Lepisosteus oculatus: one gene and its partner. The protein of the gene in region 1 interacts with the protein of each later gene in a pairwise test. Links are inferred from orthologs where the notes say so. Each region holds a gene or a part of one and is shown on either strand. Other genes may lie near its edges.

Region 1 (7,900 bases):
TAAACAGGCTTAAGTTTTTTTTTTTTGTAGCATCATGAAGGATATAACCGAAGCCATATAGGGTGTTAAACCGAACTGAATAGCTATATACGATTATACTTTATTGCCCGATTTATCAGAAAATTGTTTTGAAGGCATGGGATGTTTTACAAACAGAGAGGCTTACAAAAAAACATACAAACACTACACGAAAAATCAATATAACATGACATAAAAGACGTCAACCCATACATCAGTCATTACACGTCCTTCCCACCGGATTTTGCAAAGCTTACGAGAACCTGTCAGCTTCCTGGCCCACGATCACCCTGAGCCTCGATAACTGCACACTCCCTCCTCACTGAGCACACACCACTCATCGCACTCGCCCAAAGACCAACGCTCCGTTATTGATCGAGTCCTCTGAATCTGGGGAAAAGGCATGGCTCATTACGTTAGGCCCGCCGTGGGGGAGGCGGGACTCTTCATGCAGAACAAGCGAGGGGTCAGAGGAGACCCCAGCAGCCGGTCCCTGTGCACCCCGGGTGTAAGCAGCTCCAGAGCTCTGCTCTCGGGGCCGCCCTGCTGACTGAGAGCACGTCCTGCCAAGTCTGGACATCTCCGCCTTTTGTTGCACAGACCGACTGTTATACCAGACGATTATTCGACACACTCTGTTCACACAAAATCTGACAACTGGTACAATAACAAATTGCAAACTGTGGAGCAAGTAAATTTGCTGTTGTACTTTATCGCAAGTATAGTTAACATGTATTTTCAAAGACAGATTGTGATCTACGTATATTCTCTGATATAAACAGTCCTGGGAGCACCAGTAACCCAGCCGCTGACGACTCGTTTACTCCATTGTCACCATGAAATAAACGCGAAACCATCTGCAATATCACCTCATTAAAATAGGTCTGAACCTCACAAGATCGAACCGCTGAACCCCAAATTAACTGTGTGTGTGTTTTACAGAAAAGGTGGATGAATTAGCACCTGTTACAGAACTTGAATATTACAGCTTTGAAAATGCGCCATTGACAGTTCCGTCAACTGCAATATGGCTCAGTATTTCTAAACGTTTTGCAAGAGAACCCTTGTTCTTCTAAATCCCTTGATCCTTCACGATTGTGAATTAGCACTGTCAGGAGTTTGTTTCTAATTTATAGTACTAAAAACCAAGGGTTTTGCTTAAAATCTGTTTACTTCTTCTTATGGGGGAAAAAGGCGTCTTTTGGATATCATGTGTGGATACCAACCAGGTGAATCCAGGTGAAATTAAATTTCGATGATATTGCTGGAAGCCGCACACGCCGGTTGACTAGTCATTACGAGAACAAGAAGAGAAATCTATCTGCTTACTTTCACCTTCCCCACGGCGAGCGCACACACACACAAACCACCACACAACCCACGCTTCACTAAAAATACACTGACACCCAAGTTCCGTAGTACCAAGATCCAAAATTTCCCCGAAAGACCCCCGAACTGTACGAGAAACGCCAGCCGACCCCCGAATAAAAGCACTGAGAGTTTAAAATTACATCAACCTCTGCCAACACGCTTCTGAGAAATTGCGCTGAGATCAGCGTGTTTACCCGGGGAGGGACATGTGACATTCATTTTAAGCAGGTTGTACTACACAAAGTGAAGAGAGGGGTGCTTAAGGGTGAAGGGGATTAAGAAACTTTCCCCGAAATATACTTGTCTTTTGCCGATAGGCGTGAGTCGCTTTCAATTCAGCTATTATTACAAACTTTGGGTGAAAATGAAAAACAGAAACACTTTAACGCTGATCTGCCGTGACAAGAAAGTAGGGGCACCCCTACGGCTGGCGAGAGTGTGACGCGCCGCTACTTGGGTTCTCAGAATTGAGCTCTTGCTGTTTCTTGGAATATTATTTCCTCAAAAGCCGGCGAGGCAGCTGGTTCTAGGAATTTAGGCCACGCTGTTTAACCAGGTGATGTATCACTCCGTCTCTGTCTATATAACATGCCCTGTCGCTTTGCTGTAGTCCTTGAAAAACACATCTTGGGAGAACGCAACGAGCTGAACTGGGGAGCATTTTTTTTGTTACAGTTCCAACTATTGGAGAGGACAGAATTGAAATCAGTTTTTCGAAGTTTATTTGAATGTCTCTTACTTTTTTTGTTAATGATGCTGCTGTGTGTTTGTGGGGAATCCGGCGGTTTAGAAAACGTCACAACTCTCAAGTTTGTTACCAGACTTGTTTCTGTTGCTAATCTCGAGTGGTTAAATGTGAGAAGGCGGGTGTCCTTCATTAATTGTTTTTACCTAAAATATTCTGGCTGCCGCTGAGAAATACACAGAACTTATTTTTAATTTCTTTTGTCATTTTTGTCATTCTGACGTTGTGTAATTTTTTTGCGAAACGCTTGTTACGTTTTCAGTGACGCTTTTGGACGTCCATGCAAGATGTGGTCTTTGCAAGAGGAATACAGTAGAGTCAGGTGCATGTCTGCCTGGGTGATTTATATATTTAGATTACTGGGCTTTGATGCGTTTTTCAACAGAAAGGGTGGCCCTGTACATAAACATAGACTTGTTTACACCTTTCCGAGGGCATTGACATACGAAACGTTTTATTCTTTTTTTATTTCTTATGTCCGGGCTTCTAAGATGAGCTAGGAGTCTGTGTTTACTTAGTCCTATATCTTTTTCACAAATCGTTCCCGTTTACCTGCCTTGAGTCGAGACCGTAAGGTTGCTCCGAGCTAATCGTCTGTGCGACTTTATCCCTGTCTCGGTCCCTCTCTGCTCGCGTTGCTCACGGTATTTACAGCAATCAGACGACATTGCGAAAGCGCACTGACCTCAGATACTCTTTGCACAGCCGCGTCTCTCCGATCTGGAAGACCGCCAAGCGCGCCGGAGCGCCCGGCCTCCTTGTGAGATTGTAGCGGAGAGTGTGAGGAGGCGCTTGTATCTTTTGTACCGCAGACTGCCGATCGCGCACTGAAAAAACCACGGAGCTACTGGAAACGACGCCACTGAACTGACAAGCCGTGTTACAAAAACAAAATCTTTATTTTTGGCAGTGTAACTTCGCCACGGCTCGGTGTAATTGGTCTTCCCCCCCCCCCCACTCGTCTTGGAGTTTACTCCCACACTGCAGTCCAGCAGTCGCAAAATATGCAGCAGCTGCTGAATCTTTAAAACTGAATTAACCACTGAACTACTGAACACATTGCAGCCCGGCGCTCTCACACTGTGCCACTGAACACACTGTAGCCTGGCACCCTAACACTGAACACACTGCAGCCCGGCACTCTCACACTGTGACACTGAACACACTGTGGCGCGGCACTCTCACACTGTGACACTGAACACACTGCAGCCCGGCACTGTGATACTGAACACACTGCAGCCTGGCACTCTGTCACTGAGATACTGAACACACTGCAGCCTGGCACTCTGACACTGAATACACTGCGGCGTGGCACTCTCACACTGAGACACTGAACACACTGCGGCACGGCACTCTGACACCGAGACACTGAACACACTGAAGCCTGGCACTCTGACACTGAACACACTGCAGCCCGGCACTCTCATACTGTGACACTGAATACACTGCAGCCCGGCACTCTGACACTGAGACACTGAACACACTGCAGCCCGGCACTCTGACACTGAGACACTGAACACACTGCAGCCTGGCACTCTCGCACTGAGACACTGAACACACTGCAGCCTGGCACTCGGACACTGCGACACTGAACACATTGCAGCCCAGCACTGAGACACTGAACACATTGCAGCCCAGCACTGAGACACTGAACACACTGCAGCCCGGCACCGAGACACTGAACACACTGAAGCCTGGCACTCTGACACTGAACACACTGCAGCCCGGCACTCTCATACTGTGACACTGAATACACTGCAGCCCGGCACCCTGACACTGAGACACTGAACACACTGCAGCCTGGCACTCTCGCACTGAGACACTGAACACACTGCAGCCTGGCACTCTGACACTGTGACACTGAACACATTGCAGCCCAGCACTGAGACACTGAACACACTTCAGCCCAGCACTCTGATACTGTTACACTGAACACACTGCAGCCCGGCACTCTGAGACTGAGACACTGAATACACTGCAGCCTGGCACTCGGACACTGCGACACTGAACACATTGCAGCCCGGCACTGAGACACTGAACACATTGCAGCCCAGCACTGAGACAAACACACTGCAGCTCGGCATTCTGACACTGTTACACTGAACACACTGCAGCCCGGCACTGATACACTGAACACACTGCAGCCCAGCACTCTGACACTGCGACACTGAACACAATGCAGCCTGGCACACTCCCAGTCCCTCAGCTCTGACCCCCAGTGCCTCACTCCCAGTCCCTCAGCTCTGACCCCCAGTGCCTCACTCCCAGTCCCTCAGCTCTGACCCCCGGTGCCTCACTCCCAGTCCCTCAGCTCTGACCCCCAGTGCCTCACTCCCAGTCCCTCAGCTCTGACCCCCAGTGCCTCACTCCCAGTCCCTCAGCTCTGACCCCCAGTGCCTCACTCCCAGTCCCTCAGCTCTGACCCCCAGTGCCTCACTCCCAGTCCAGCTTCAGCCCTGCTCTGCAGACCTGCTCTCCCTCCTTTCCTTCCCAGTCTCCGCCTCTGCGCCTCTCCAGCCCTGCTGGCCAGCGCTCTCTCCCTGTGCCACCTGCTGAGGAAGTGACTCAGGAGGAGATGACTTTCCTGTCTTTCATGCAGAGGACGGATGCCGTTGCCAAGGAAGAGTCGCGTTCGTGTTTTTTTGCGAATGTTTTGTTTTTGTTTTTTTTTTCCATTTTTCCGAAACAAAAGTAGATCTCCGTCCTCTCCTCCTCCCCTTTCCCCTTTCTCCCTTGTGGAATCGCTTCCCCGTCTCGCCTTATAAGTACAAAATCCAGATCAGGAAGCCGTGTAAAGGGAAATTCTGCTTATTTGGTTTGTTTATCCGAGTGCTTTGCTCCGGTTGTAGCTGAAATCCTGGAAGAGACCTACGCTGGGCTCAGGCGGTCTGCCTCGGGCTGTGGTGGTCCGCAGTCAGCCCTGGTGGGCAAAGGGGTCAGAAGATTCGACTCTGGATATGTGGCATGTTGTGTGTCCTCCACATGCATGGCTGTAATGTCAGGTCACAGAGTGGCAGGATGGTTAACGGCACCCTTTCACACCTGCAAGGTTCTGGGTACAAGTGCCCAGGCCACCCTTCTGTGTGGAGCTTGCATGTTCTTGCTAGATTTGTGTTGGAGGTTTGGGGGGGGGTGGTATAGAGCTCCAATCTTCCAAAGACATGCGGTCAAAGAACCCCCCCCCCCCCCAGATTTATCCCTATCAGAAAAACAGCTGGTTTCTCCTCCTTATCAACTGTGTCCACACGGGACAGTGTAGAGAAAAGGGGTACAGGACATAGGCCTGTGAGCTCACACTGGCCTCGGGAAGGTGTCACCTGAGTGCCAGTTCTAGGTCATAGTGCGGCGCAGCGCAAACAGCTCTGATTGGTGGGTGTGTCAGAGGAGACCATTTGACCTGGTCGTTTGTGATCGTGAGCTCCGTGTCCATGGCCTTGGTCAGGTCGGGCATTTAAATGATGGATGCTATAAAAGAACACACTTCCCAAAATTGACCTCGGGTCCGATAGACCGGACTGTCCAGCTCTAACTGGGATTCTCCCCAGCAAAGGGCCAGCCGGCACCATGACCTTTCACCTTTAGTTCGGGTCCCAGCACTCCCACCCTCTCACTCTTCCTGTCTCGTTCTCCCTTCTCCCTCTCCCTCTCCCTCCCGCTCTCCTCCTCCGGTTCCTGTGCTCACAATGCCTGGAAGCTGCCTAGACCTGCTGTGTTTGTTTCTTTTTCTCCTTCCATAAAAGAATTGAAAAGTAATTCCACACGCTCTCCTGCAAACATAGCGCACATGCTGTTTACTGTAAGAGGTTTTTTTTCTGCGTGGGTCATACAGTATGTTTGCCTTTCATTCCTAGGCTGGATCTCTATTTTTAATGTGTGCAATTCCATGTAAGTGCCAGAAAACCTTAGCTAGCAGCTGCATCACCCTGCAACTCACGACTGGCAGCCCCACTGGAGCTCAGCAGGTGTGAGCCTGTCCAGTACCTGGATGGGAGACTTCCTGGGAAAGCTGAGGTTGCTGCTGGAAGAGGTGTTAGTGGGGCCAGCACCCTGTGGTCTATGTAGGTCCTAATGCCCCAGTATAGTGATGGGGACACTATACTGTAAACAGGCGCCATCCTTCGGATGTGACATAAAACCGAGGTCCTGACTCTCTGTGGTCATTAAAAATCCCAGGGTGTTTCTCGAAAAGAGTTGGGGTTACCCCAGTGTCCTGGCCATATTTCCCCCTGTTCTTTACCAATCTCGGCCACCTAATAATCCCCCTCTCTGAACTGGCTTCATCACTCTGCTCTCCTCCCCACTGAGAGCTGGTGTGTGGGGAGAGTACTGGTGCATCATCCAGGTGGGGCTACACACTGATGGTGGTGGAGGGGAGTCCCCATTAATTGTAAAGCACTTTGAGTGGAGTGTCCAGAAGAGTACTTTATAAGTGTGAGGAATTATTATTAGTATTTGTAAAAGCACTAGAAATGCTCAAAATCTCTCTAGATTTATCCCAGAGGGAGACACCCTGAAGTGACTAATAACTAACTTATAAGGCTCAAAGACCACAACTAACTTTTCATCTTTAGCTGCTTTTGCAGATTTAGCCCAATAAAGACAGCATACCGTGCTCAGACAGAGCGTGATTGGACAAGTGAGATCAATCAGAGCAGGTGTCTCAGTCCCAGTCCTGCAAGGATTATTAGCCCACTTTCAATCACTCACTTCTGAAGACATGCAGCGTCATCATCGTGACCAGTTAAACAGGTGCTGCATTCAGTTAAGAGAATTTCAAGATGAGCTGTGACCAAGATCACTCCCAGAATTTAGAAAGCATCTAAATTTGAATCTGCAAGACTAAGCAATAATAATGGAACAAGTAATAGGTTTATTCCATGCTGAAATAAAGAAGAAGAAAGAGAACACAAGTGTAAACGCTTTCCCTTTGCCTACTGCCCTGTCTCTCTCAAACCTGAAGAAGGCTCCACGGCCGAAACGTTGTGTTCTCTTTCTTCATCTTTTTTTCAGCATGGAATAAACCTATTACTTGTTCCTTTGCAGCCTACGCATGCTGACGCAGCTCCCCACCTAAGCAATAATAATAATTCCTTACACTTATACAGCACATTTCTGGACATTCCACTCAGAGCAGTTTCCAGGTACTGGGGACTCCCTTCCACAACTACCAATGTACAGATGATGCAACAGCAGCCAGAGTGCACCAGTACACTCACCCCACACCAGCTCTCAGTGGGGAGAAGAACAGATTGATCCAGCCCTGGGATTTTTAATGACCACAGCAAGTCAGGACCTCTGTTTTACATCTCATCTGAAGGACAGCAGCTTTTTACAGTATAGTGTCCCCATGACTATTCTAGGGTTATTAGGACCCACACAGACCACGGGGTGAGCGCCCCCTACTGGCCCCACTAACACCTCTTCCAGCAGCAGCCTTAGCTTTCCCAGCAGGTCTCCCACCCAGGTACTGGCCAGGCTCACTCCTGCTGAGCTCCAGTGGGGCTGCCAGCTGGGAGTTGCAGGGTGATACTCTCTGGTGCAGAGGATGGAGAAACACGAACGCGAGATTTGACCTCGCTGAACGCAGTCTGACGCCTTTTCTGCGACTTTATGAGAACGGAGCTGCGTTAGTCTGGGTGGTGGGACATTGACCGAAGGATTTTCCCGATTTCCCCCTGGAAGCTCTGAAGCCTCCTGACACTGAGGCTAGCGCCACCAGGAAGCCAGGATCAGGGCTTGACGCGTCCTTTCTGCGAGCAGCCCGGG
Region 2 (7,536 bases), on another chromosome or scaffold:
TGATCACGGGTTCGAGCCTGGGTCATGTTACTGAACTTGAACTTGAACTTGAACTTGAACTTTATTGCCATATGTAACCGGTACTGGTACAATGGAATTCTTACTTACAGAAAGTCTCTCGATTATAAAACAAGTGTAAAAAACAAAACAAAGTGCAAACAGTGCATCAAGACAATGTACAAACAAACAATAGACAATGTGCAAGTAAACATGCAGACAGTTTGACTGTAAACAATACAGACGTGTAAACAATGACTGGAGACGTACAATTAATAAATTACAATGAGGTAGATGGTGATGGTGTAGGTGTGGTCCGAGGGGGATGGCTAAATGTGTTCGCCAGTCTCACTGCTTGTGGATAGAAGCTATTGAAGAATCTAGTGGTAAGTGTCCGTATGCTCTTATATCTCTTGCCTGAGGGCAGTGGGGTGAAGAGCTCATGCCCGGGGTGGTGACTGTCCTCTGTGATGGCCAGAATTCTACCACGGCAGCGGTCCTCATAGAGCTGTTTAATCTCGGTGAGACCGCAGCCGATGATCTTCTGGGCCATATTGACCATTCTCTGCAGTGCCTTTCTTTCTCGCGAAGAGGTGTTGCCATACCACACGGTGATCCCGTTGGTGAGGACGCTCTCGATAGTGCAGCGGTAGAAGTTCACCAACACATGTGTTGGCATCCCCCATCGCTTGAGGCACCTCAAGAAATAAAGGCGCTGCTGAGCCTTCTTCATGATAGAGTCAGTGTTCACAGTCCAGGTTAGATCTTTAGAGATGTGAATTCCCAAAAACCTAAAGCTGGTGACTGTTTCCACTTCCGTTCCATCAATACTGAGTGGGCTGTGAGTGTGTGGCCTGTGTCTCCGAAAGTCCACTATTAGCTCTTTCGTTTTCTTTATGTTCAAGTCCAGGTTATTGCTATGACACCACCTCAGCAGCTGTACAACTTCATCCCTGTAAGTGGACTCGTCATCATCACTGATCAGTCCTATTATAGTGGTGTCATCGGCAAACTTAATGATGCGGTTATTGCTGTGTCTTGCTGTGCAGTCGTGAGTAAATACTGTGGCTGGGACTCCCCGTGCGACGGCACACAAGGGGATGTCAAGGGTAGGGTCGGATTAGCTGGCCAGGATGCCGTTGGCTCATTGTGCTGTAGGTGAGGGACATGCCTCTCCTCATGCACAGGGATTCACGGCCCTTGACGTGTTACAAGACGGGTGTCTCCAATGCGGGCAGGGTGGAGGAGTCTGCCTACATTTCCACATCCTCCCCTGTGTGCGGTGGGGGGGTTTGTAGCTGAGAGCCGAGATGAGAAAAGCCACACACGATTGGTGATTCCAGATCAAGGACAACACAAAATGGAGGCTATACTAACAAGAACAGGAAGGGCTCCTTCAGGAGCCAGGAGAGTGGCGGGTGTCTGAAGCGGTTTCCAGCACAGCTTTCAAAACCTGCCTGCCTGACATTTACTTTACTCCATTCGCAAGTAGCTGCCAAGCGAACAGGGCTGGCTAAAGGGTCTTTTCTTTTTTCTGAAATTTCTAAGAACCTGAGTACAGTTAGCAACGAGAAAACACCATTCATCCCTCCCTGCCCTTTGGAAGCTCCTCAGCCAGCATTTCTCCTGGTCTTTAGAAACAGGGGAGCTGTACAGGCACAACTCTGTCTTGCCTGATGCCTCACAAGGCCTGTTAACCAGCACAACATCAGGCCTGTCATCTCTTCCACGCTCCTAAGTGTGGCCATGTGATGTTGTGATTTTGCTTGGGAGCCTCTTATTCTGAAACGATGTTTGCTGAGCTGTACAAAAATGTTTTTTTTTTATTAAATGTGTTCACTTCCCAAAAGAGGTTACCTTTTATAAAACACAAAGAATTAAATGTATTTTTAAAATCGTACAGTAGTGTGTGTATATTGTGTACACTAATGTTTTTTTTTAACTGGGAAAAGCAGATGGGTCTCAGACGAGGGAGTTTTAAAAAATATTAAGTCTTCAATATGATGTCATGTTTGCGAATGATGAGCATTAAAACATGCCTTTTCGGTCTCTTTTCTAAACTCCTTTACACATGCAATGTCACCCATATCTATGTTAGTAACAGTCACTCAACAACGGCCTAAACTGCGTTTCTGTCTGTCTGTTACCATAACAATCGTTTCTTATCGTTTTTAAGGAACCGCCTTTCATGTGATGAAGAAACCGCTGTACAGAGTCACGTGGCGTATGACTTCTGCTGTTCACGCACGAAGCATCATAACTAAAGTACCGAAACGACACTTTAATTCCGCAGAATTATTTCATAATTGTATACGCGGTTCCTGTAATGAAACACACCGAATTACTCATTGGAACAACTCAGTGGAACGCTTTTACTGGGAATTATGTGTCAACGTATGCGGTGTCTTACGTGTAGTAACATTATTCTTTAAAGAAGACTCGGACAAGAAAACGAACATGTACAAATCTTCCGACAAACCGAGAGGGCCAACTCTAGCTGAGGATATCCCTTTAGCTCGGGGTGTCCAATGGGTTTTTTTCAAGAAACTTGTTAAAGCATATGCGATCGCTCGGCGAAACGAAACTGTCAACTTTGAAAATGACAAATTCGACTTAAGTCTAAATCCGCCAAGAAAACCATCACCAACCATCACTGTTTTAAAAATATCTAACGTTACACTTCAGTTTCATCAAATCGTGTTTGGGTTTGTATGGACTGAGGCATTAGTACGGCTTAACAGGTAATATTAATGCCTCAGTCATGCTGTCATTCAACAACCTACAGCCGCTTACCGTTTGCTCTGCGTCTATGTCAATTTGAATAGTTTGCTGTTGCAGCGTCTTCAGAGTGATTTGCATCTTTCTTCTGTTTCCGATCTGTCAGTCCAAAACTTCTCTAAAAAAACTATATATTTGAAACACAGCCTGTCAATTTGGATCTGAAATAACTCGCACGCTGGTAGATGAGGTTGGCGAAAAAAACAGCACACACGAGCCATCAACTCACTGCCGCCATCTTAGTGATGACGTCATGAAGCGAACGCGGTGGGCAGACGGTCCGGCGTCATCTCTGTCACGTGACGTGGGTATCACTCGAGTTGAGGGTAATAGAACGCTATTAAACACGTGGTTCTTGTAAAGTTAGGTGTCATTTTCGTATAACTGCGTGGTCAGAAGTCTGATTCCGTGAACTAAACTTAACATACCATAAATGGCACTATAGACAACGATGTACCAATTGCCGTAGTGTCCAGTGACGACAGTAAGGTCTATCGGAGACAAAAGGCTCTGCTCAGCCTGATTTTGGTACCTGCTTGCGGTGATAAATAATCCTTGTGTTGAATAAATACATAAAACTAAAAGACACGCATCCCGTATTTTATGTATTCAGGGAAGGGAATCGTGCCAGACTGGAACTTTCTATTTTTCAGGTTGTTTTTCTCTGGAGGTCTCCCATCGCAGTACTACCGACCTGACCCAAGCTTGCGTATCTTCTGAGATCTGACAAGATCGAATTAGTGTTATGATATTTTTGTATATATTTTGTTACTCTGCGTCCCCCTAGCTATAGAAGTCCGTCAAATGCAACAATAATATAGCGAACAGACAATGGCAGAACACAGTAATGACTTCTAGTAATATCAGTCAAGTACTAATTCCCCTAAAATTTATTTTTGTGTGCTTGTTCAGAACTACAACTCCCACAAAGCACCTAAACGTCATTTCCGGCCTTTGCAGTTTGTAAACAGAGCAAAGGGGAGATGGGGTGGACTGATCCTATAATACTAACTTAAAGTGAATCGGATATGTAACTGATATATAAATACCGGCGATTTTTTGGGTTTATTTTTGGCTAGGAGAGATTCGGTTGCAAGCACAAGAAAGAAAGCCAGAAAACTGTTCATGGATAGGCGTGATTTAGCAGCGGGTTAGCTTTCCTTGCCCATATTTCGGGTGTCGGGGGAAGACGGGTCTCGTTTAGCCGCCCCTCTGCAACTCTCTCGGCCAGTGCACCCGAGTCCACTTCGATGGGGAACTGCCTCTCCTCGCAGGGTGCGGACGACTTGTCGTTGCTGAACGAGTCGGAGGGGGCCAGCTTGCCCGGAGAGCCACCGCCGCCCTATCAGGTGCAGTAAAGGGGGAACGAGTGAAATACAGACCGGGGATTCGCTGGGAGAGGACGAGTGGTCGAACAGAGCTCTTCAGGCTGGCGTCTGGAAAAGCCCAAACAAAAACGAACGCCTGTATAATTTATACATTTTTAAAATGCTGGAACTCCGAAGGCGAGGGAATTAACGAGTATTTATTTAGGTAGTTCAGAAGTGTAGTTAAGACGAGAAAACTGGTACACAATTATTTCTGCTCCAGGGAATGTGGCTTTTTTTCCTTTCTGTTAGTTTTCCGTGAAACGTGCTTTTGAGACGATTCTCATGAGAACCTCTCTTCTCTTTTTGAGACGTGAATCCCGAGAGAATTAAGAGTGCTACACATTTACTGCACAAAAAACCCGCGTTGCTTTGTCTGTTGTGTGGCAGACACTGCGACAGTTTATTACACTTTAAGAGGCCGTTGCATGTTGATTACAGGGGTTTAATTTAATTTACAAAGTAAATTAAAATGAAATGTCTGACTTCAATAGCATACCGAGTACGTCTGCAACGCTTTCAAGACTAAGAACGTTTTATCGCCTTGGTGTTGCTACCCCCTTTTAAAAAATAAAATTAAATTGTCAGTGCAGCCAAGCGTGATAAAAACAACTCTTTATGCTTATTGTGATGTAGATCTGAGGAGAAGGTCCATACCAACACTCCAGGGAATAGAATCTATTGATTCAAACTCTTAGTTCCTTTTGATCAGACCAGCTGATAGACATAGCAGGGTTACCCTTTCCGTCCTGTTGGGCTGAGACGGGGCTTATAATGGGATTTGATTGAAAAAATTCAGGTCTCCTCTAATTTGTATGGTTTGCTTTAAGCCTTTTTCTGTTTGTATTTCTTGAAGTTGACATGTTGAAACACTCCAAATTAAAGTTCATATCTTCACGGTTTGTGCTTTTCACTGTTGGATGTACTGTCTAAATATCTGGAGCAGTTTTCTTCAGAAGATTCCTTGAAACACACCTACTGCTAGATGCAGAATTTAGTTGAAAAACGTTTCTTCCAAAACACTGAGGATATTTACAGTCCAGTTGGTAGACTAGACTTTAGTGGTCCAACATGCTTGTGCTCCTATCTGTCATTATTGATTAAATTCCCACACTGCCAAGCAAACATTGTTTCATTAAACATTGTCTGCATTGTAGCACAGAAAGAGAAGAATGAAATGGTTCCAGTTAGACTTCTTTGGACGTTGAGAAGGTCAAGATAACCTGTAGGACTGCAGGTGTAAGAGAGCTGGGAACCCTCTCTCTAAAGATATTCAGGCTTGAAGCACAGTACCTGGGGGGGAAAGACGTTTCCTCTATTTTCATGTGTTGAATAACACATATGATATTGTAAGGGCTAAAAATAACCCTGTGCAGCTGTTTGTTTTATCGCGTGTGTGTGTGTGCACCTGTGTGCCTGCTCTCCTGTAGGCTGGGCTCTGACTGTGCCCTGTGCCTGCTCTCCTGTAGGCTGGGCTCTGACTGTGCCCTGTGCCTGCTCTCCTGTACGCTGGGCTCTGACTGTGCCCTGTGCCTGCTCTCCTGTAGGCTGGGCTCTGACTGCCCTGTGTGCCTGCTCTCCTGTACGCTGGGCTCTGACTGTGCCCTGTGCCTGCTCTCCTGTAGGCTGGGCTCTGACTGTGCCCTGTGCCTGCTCTCCTGTACGCTGGGCTCTGACTGTGCCCCGTGTGCCTGCTCTCCTGTACGCTGGGCTCTGACTGTGCCCTGTGCCTGCTCTCCTGTACGCTGGGCTCTGACTGTGCCCTGTGCCTGCTCTCCTGTACGCTGGGCTCTGACTGTGCCCTGTGCCTGCTCTCCTGTAGGCTGGGCTCTGACTGTGCCCTGTGCCTGCTCTCCTGTAGGCTGGGCTCTGACTGTGCCCTGTGTGCCTGCTCTCCTGTAGGCTGGACTCTGACTGTGCCCTGTGCCTGCTCTCCTGTACGCTGGGCTCTGACTGTGCCCTGTGCCTGCTCTCCTGTAGGCTGGGCTCTGACTGTGCCCTGTGCCTGCTCTCCTGTACGCTGGGCTCTGACTGTGCCCCGTGTGCCTGCTCTCCTGTACGCTGGGCTCTGACTGTGCCCTGTGTGCCTGCTCTCCTGTACGCTTGGCTCTGACTGTGCCCTGTGCCTGCTCTCCTGTAGGCTGGGCTCTGACTGTGCCCCGTGTGCCTGCTCTCCTGTACACTGGGCTCTGACTGTGCCCTGTGCCTGCTCTCCTGTACGCTCGGCTCTGACTGTGCCCTGTGCCTGCTCTCCTGTAGGCTGGGCTCTGACTGTGCCCTGTGCCTGCTCTCCTGTAGGCTGGGCTCTGACTGTGCCCTGTGCCTGCTCTCCTGTAGGCTGGGCTCTGACTGTGCCCTGTGCCTGCTCTCCTGTAGGCTGGGCTCTGACTGTGCCCTGTGCCTGCTCTCCTGTATGCTGGGCTCTGACTGTGCCCTGTGCCTGCTCTCCTGTACGCTCGGCTCTGACTGTGCGCTGTGCCTGCTCTCCTGTAGGCTGGGCTCTGACTGCCCTGTGTGCCTGCTCTCCTGTAGGCTGGGCTCTGACTGTGCCCTGTGCCTGCTCTCCTGTAGGCTGGGCTCTGACTGTGCCCTGTGCCTGCTCTCCTGTACGCTGGGCTCTGACTGTGCCCTGTGCCTGCTCTCCTGTACGCTGGGCTCTGACTGTGCCCTGTGCCTGCTCTCCTGTAGGCTGGGCTCTGACTGTGCCCTGTGCCTGCTCTCCTGTACGCTGGGCTCTGACTGTGCCCTGTGCCTGCTCTCCTGTACGCTGGGCTCTGACTGTGCCCTGTGCCTGCTCTCCTGTAGGCTGGGCTCTGACTGTGCCCTGTGCCTGCTCTCCTGTAGGCTGGGCTCTGACTGTGCCCCGTGTGCCTGCTCTCCTGTAGGCTGGGCTCTGACTGTGCCCTGTGCCTGCTCTCCTGTACGCTGGACTCTGACTGTGCCCTGTGCCTGCTCTCCTGTACGCTGGACTCTGACTGTGCCCTGTGCCTGCTCTCCTGTAGGCTGGGCTCTGACTGTGCCCTGTGCCTGCTCTCCTGTAGGCTGGGCTCTGACTGTGCCCTGTGTGCCTGCTCTCCTGTATGCTGGACTAACTGTGCTGTGTTCATGTGCCCAGGAGCACGCTCAGGTGCCAGTGTACCACCCCACGCCCAGCCAGACCCGCCTGGCCACCCAGCTGACCGAGGAGGAGCAGATTCGCATCGCCCAGAGGATTGGCCTCATCCAGCACCTGCCTAAGGGCATATTCGACCCCGGGTCCGAGCCCTCTGACAAGAAAGTCAAGGAGTGAGTCGCCCCCTTTGCCTGGTGCTTGTACCCTTGACAATAAACTTAAAATAGAAGGGGGCTTCCCAGTTCTGATCCTGGGGAGTGGGGCTGAGCTCTTAGTTAGTAT

Evidence for each region. The genes of interacting proteins can lie anywhere in the genome.
Region 2: the proteins of trip6 (region 1) and rad23aa interact in binary tests that used the Homo sapiens proteins (3 or more experiments, as listed by UniProt). The two-hybrid records come from large-scale screens. The link is inferred for Lepisosteus oculatus from reciprocal best matches to the Homo sapiens genes TRIP6 and RAD23A.

What each region holds. Positions count from the first base shown.
Region 1 is NC_090698.1:9,104,631-9,112,530, forward strand, and holds the start of trip6 (thyroid receptor-interacting protein 6), read right to left. Parts: upstream 3,036-7,900; 5' UTR 2,820-3,035; intron 1,946-2,819; exon of another isoform or gene 1,857-1,945; intron 1,537-1,856; exon of another isoform or gene 1,245-1,536; intron 1,225-1,244; exon of another isoform or gene 434-1,224; intron 420-433; exon of another isoform or gene 232-419; intron 201-231; exon of another isoform or gene 1-200. UniProt on the Homo sapiens protein: Relays signals from the cell surface to the nucleus to weaken adherens junction and promote actin cytoskeleton reorganization and cell invasiveness. Involved in lysophosphatidic acid-induced cell adhesion and migration.
Region 2 is NC_090706.1:16,876,610-16,884,145, reverse strand, and holds the start of rad23aa (RAD23 homolog A, nucleotide excision repair protein a), read right to left. Parts: upstream 3,046-7,536; 5' UTR 2,857-3,045; coding exon 2,791-2,856; intron 1-2,790. Other genes in the region: rnf11a (RING finger protein 11a), read left to right, coding at 4,026-4,124, 7,258-7,427. UniProt on the Homo sapiens protein: Multiubiquitin chain receptor involved in modulation of proteasomal degradation. Binds to 'Lys-48'-linked polyubiquitin chains in a length-dependent manner and with a lower affinity to 'Lys-63'-linked polyubiquitin chains.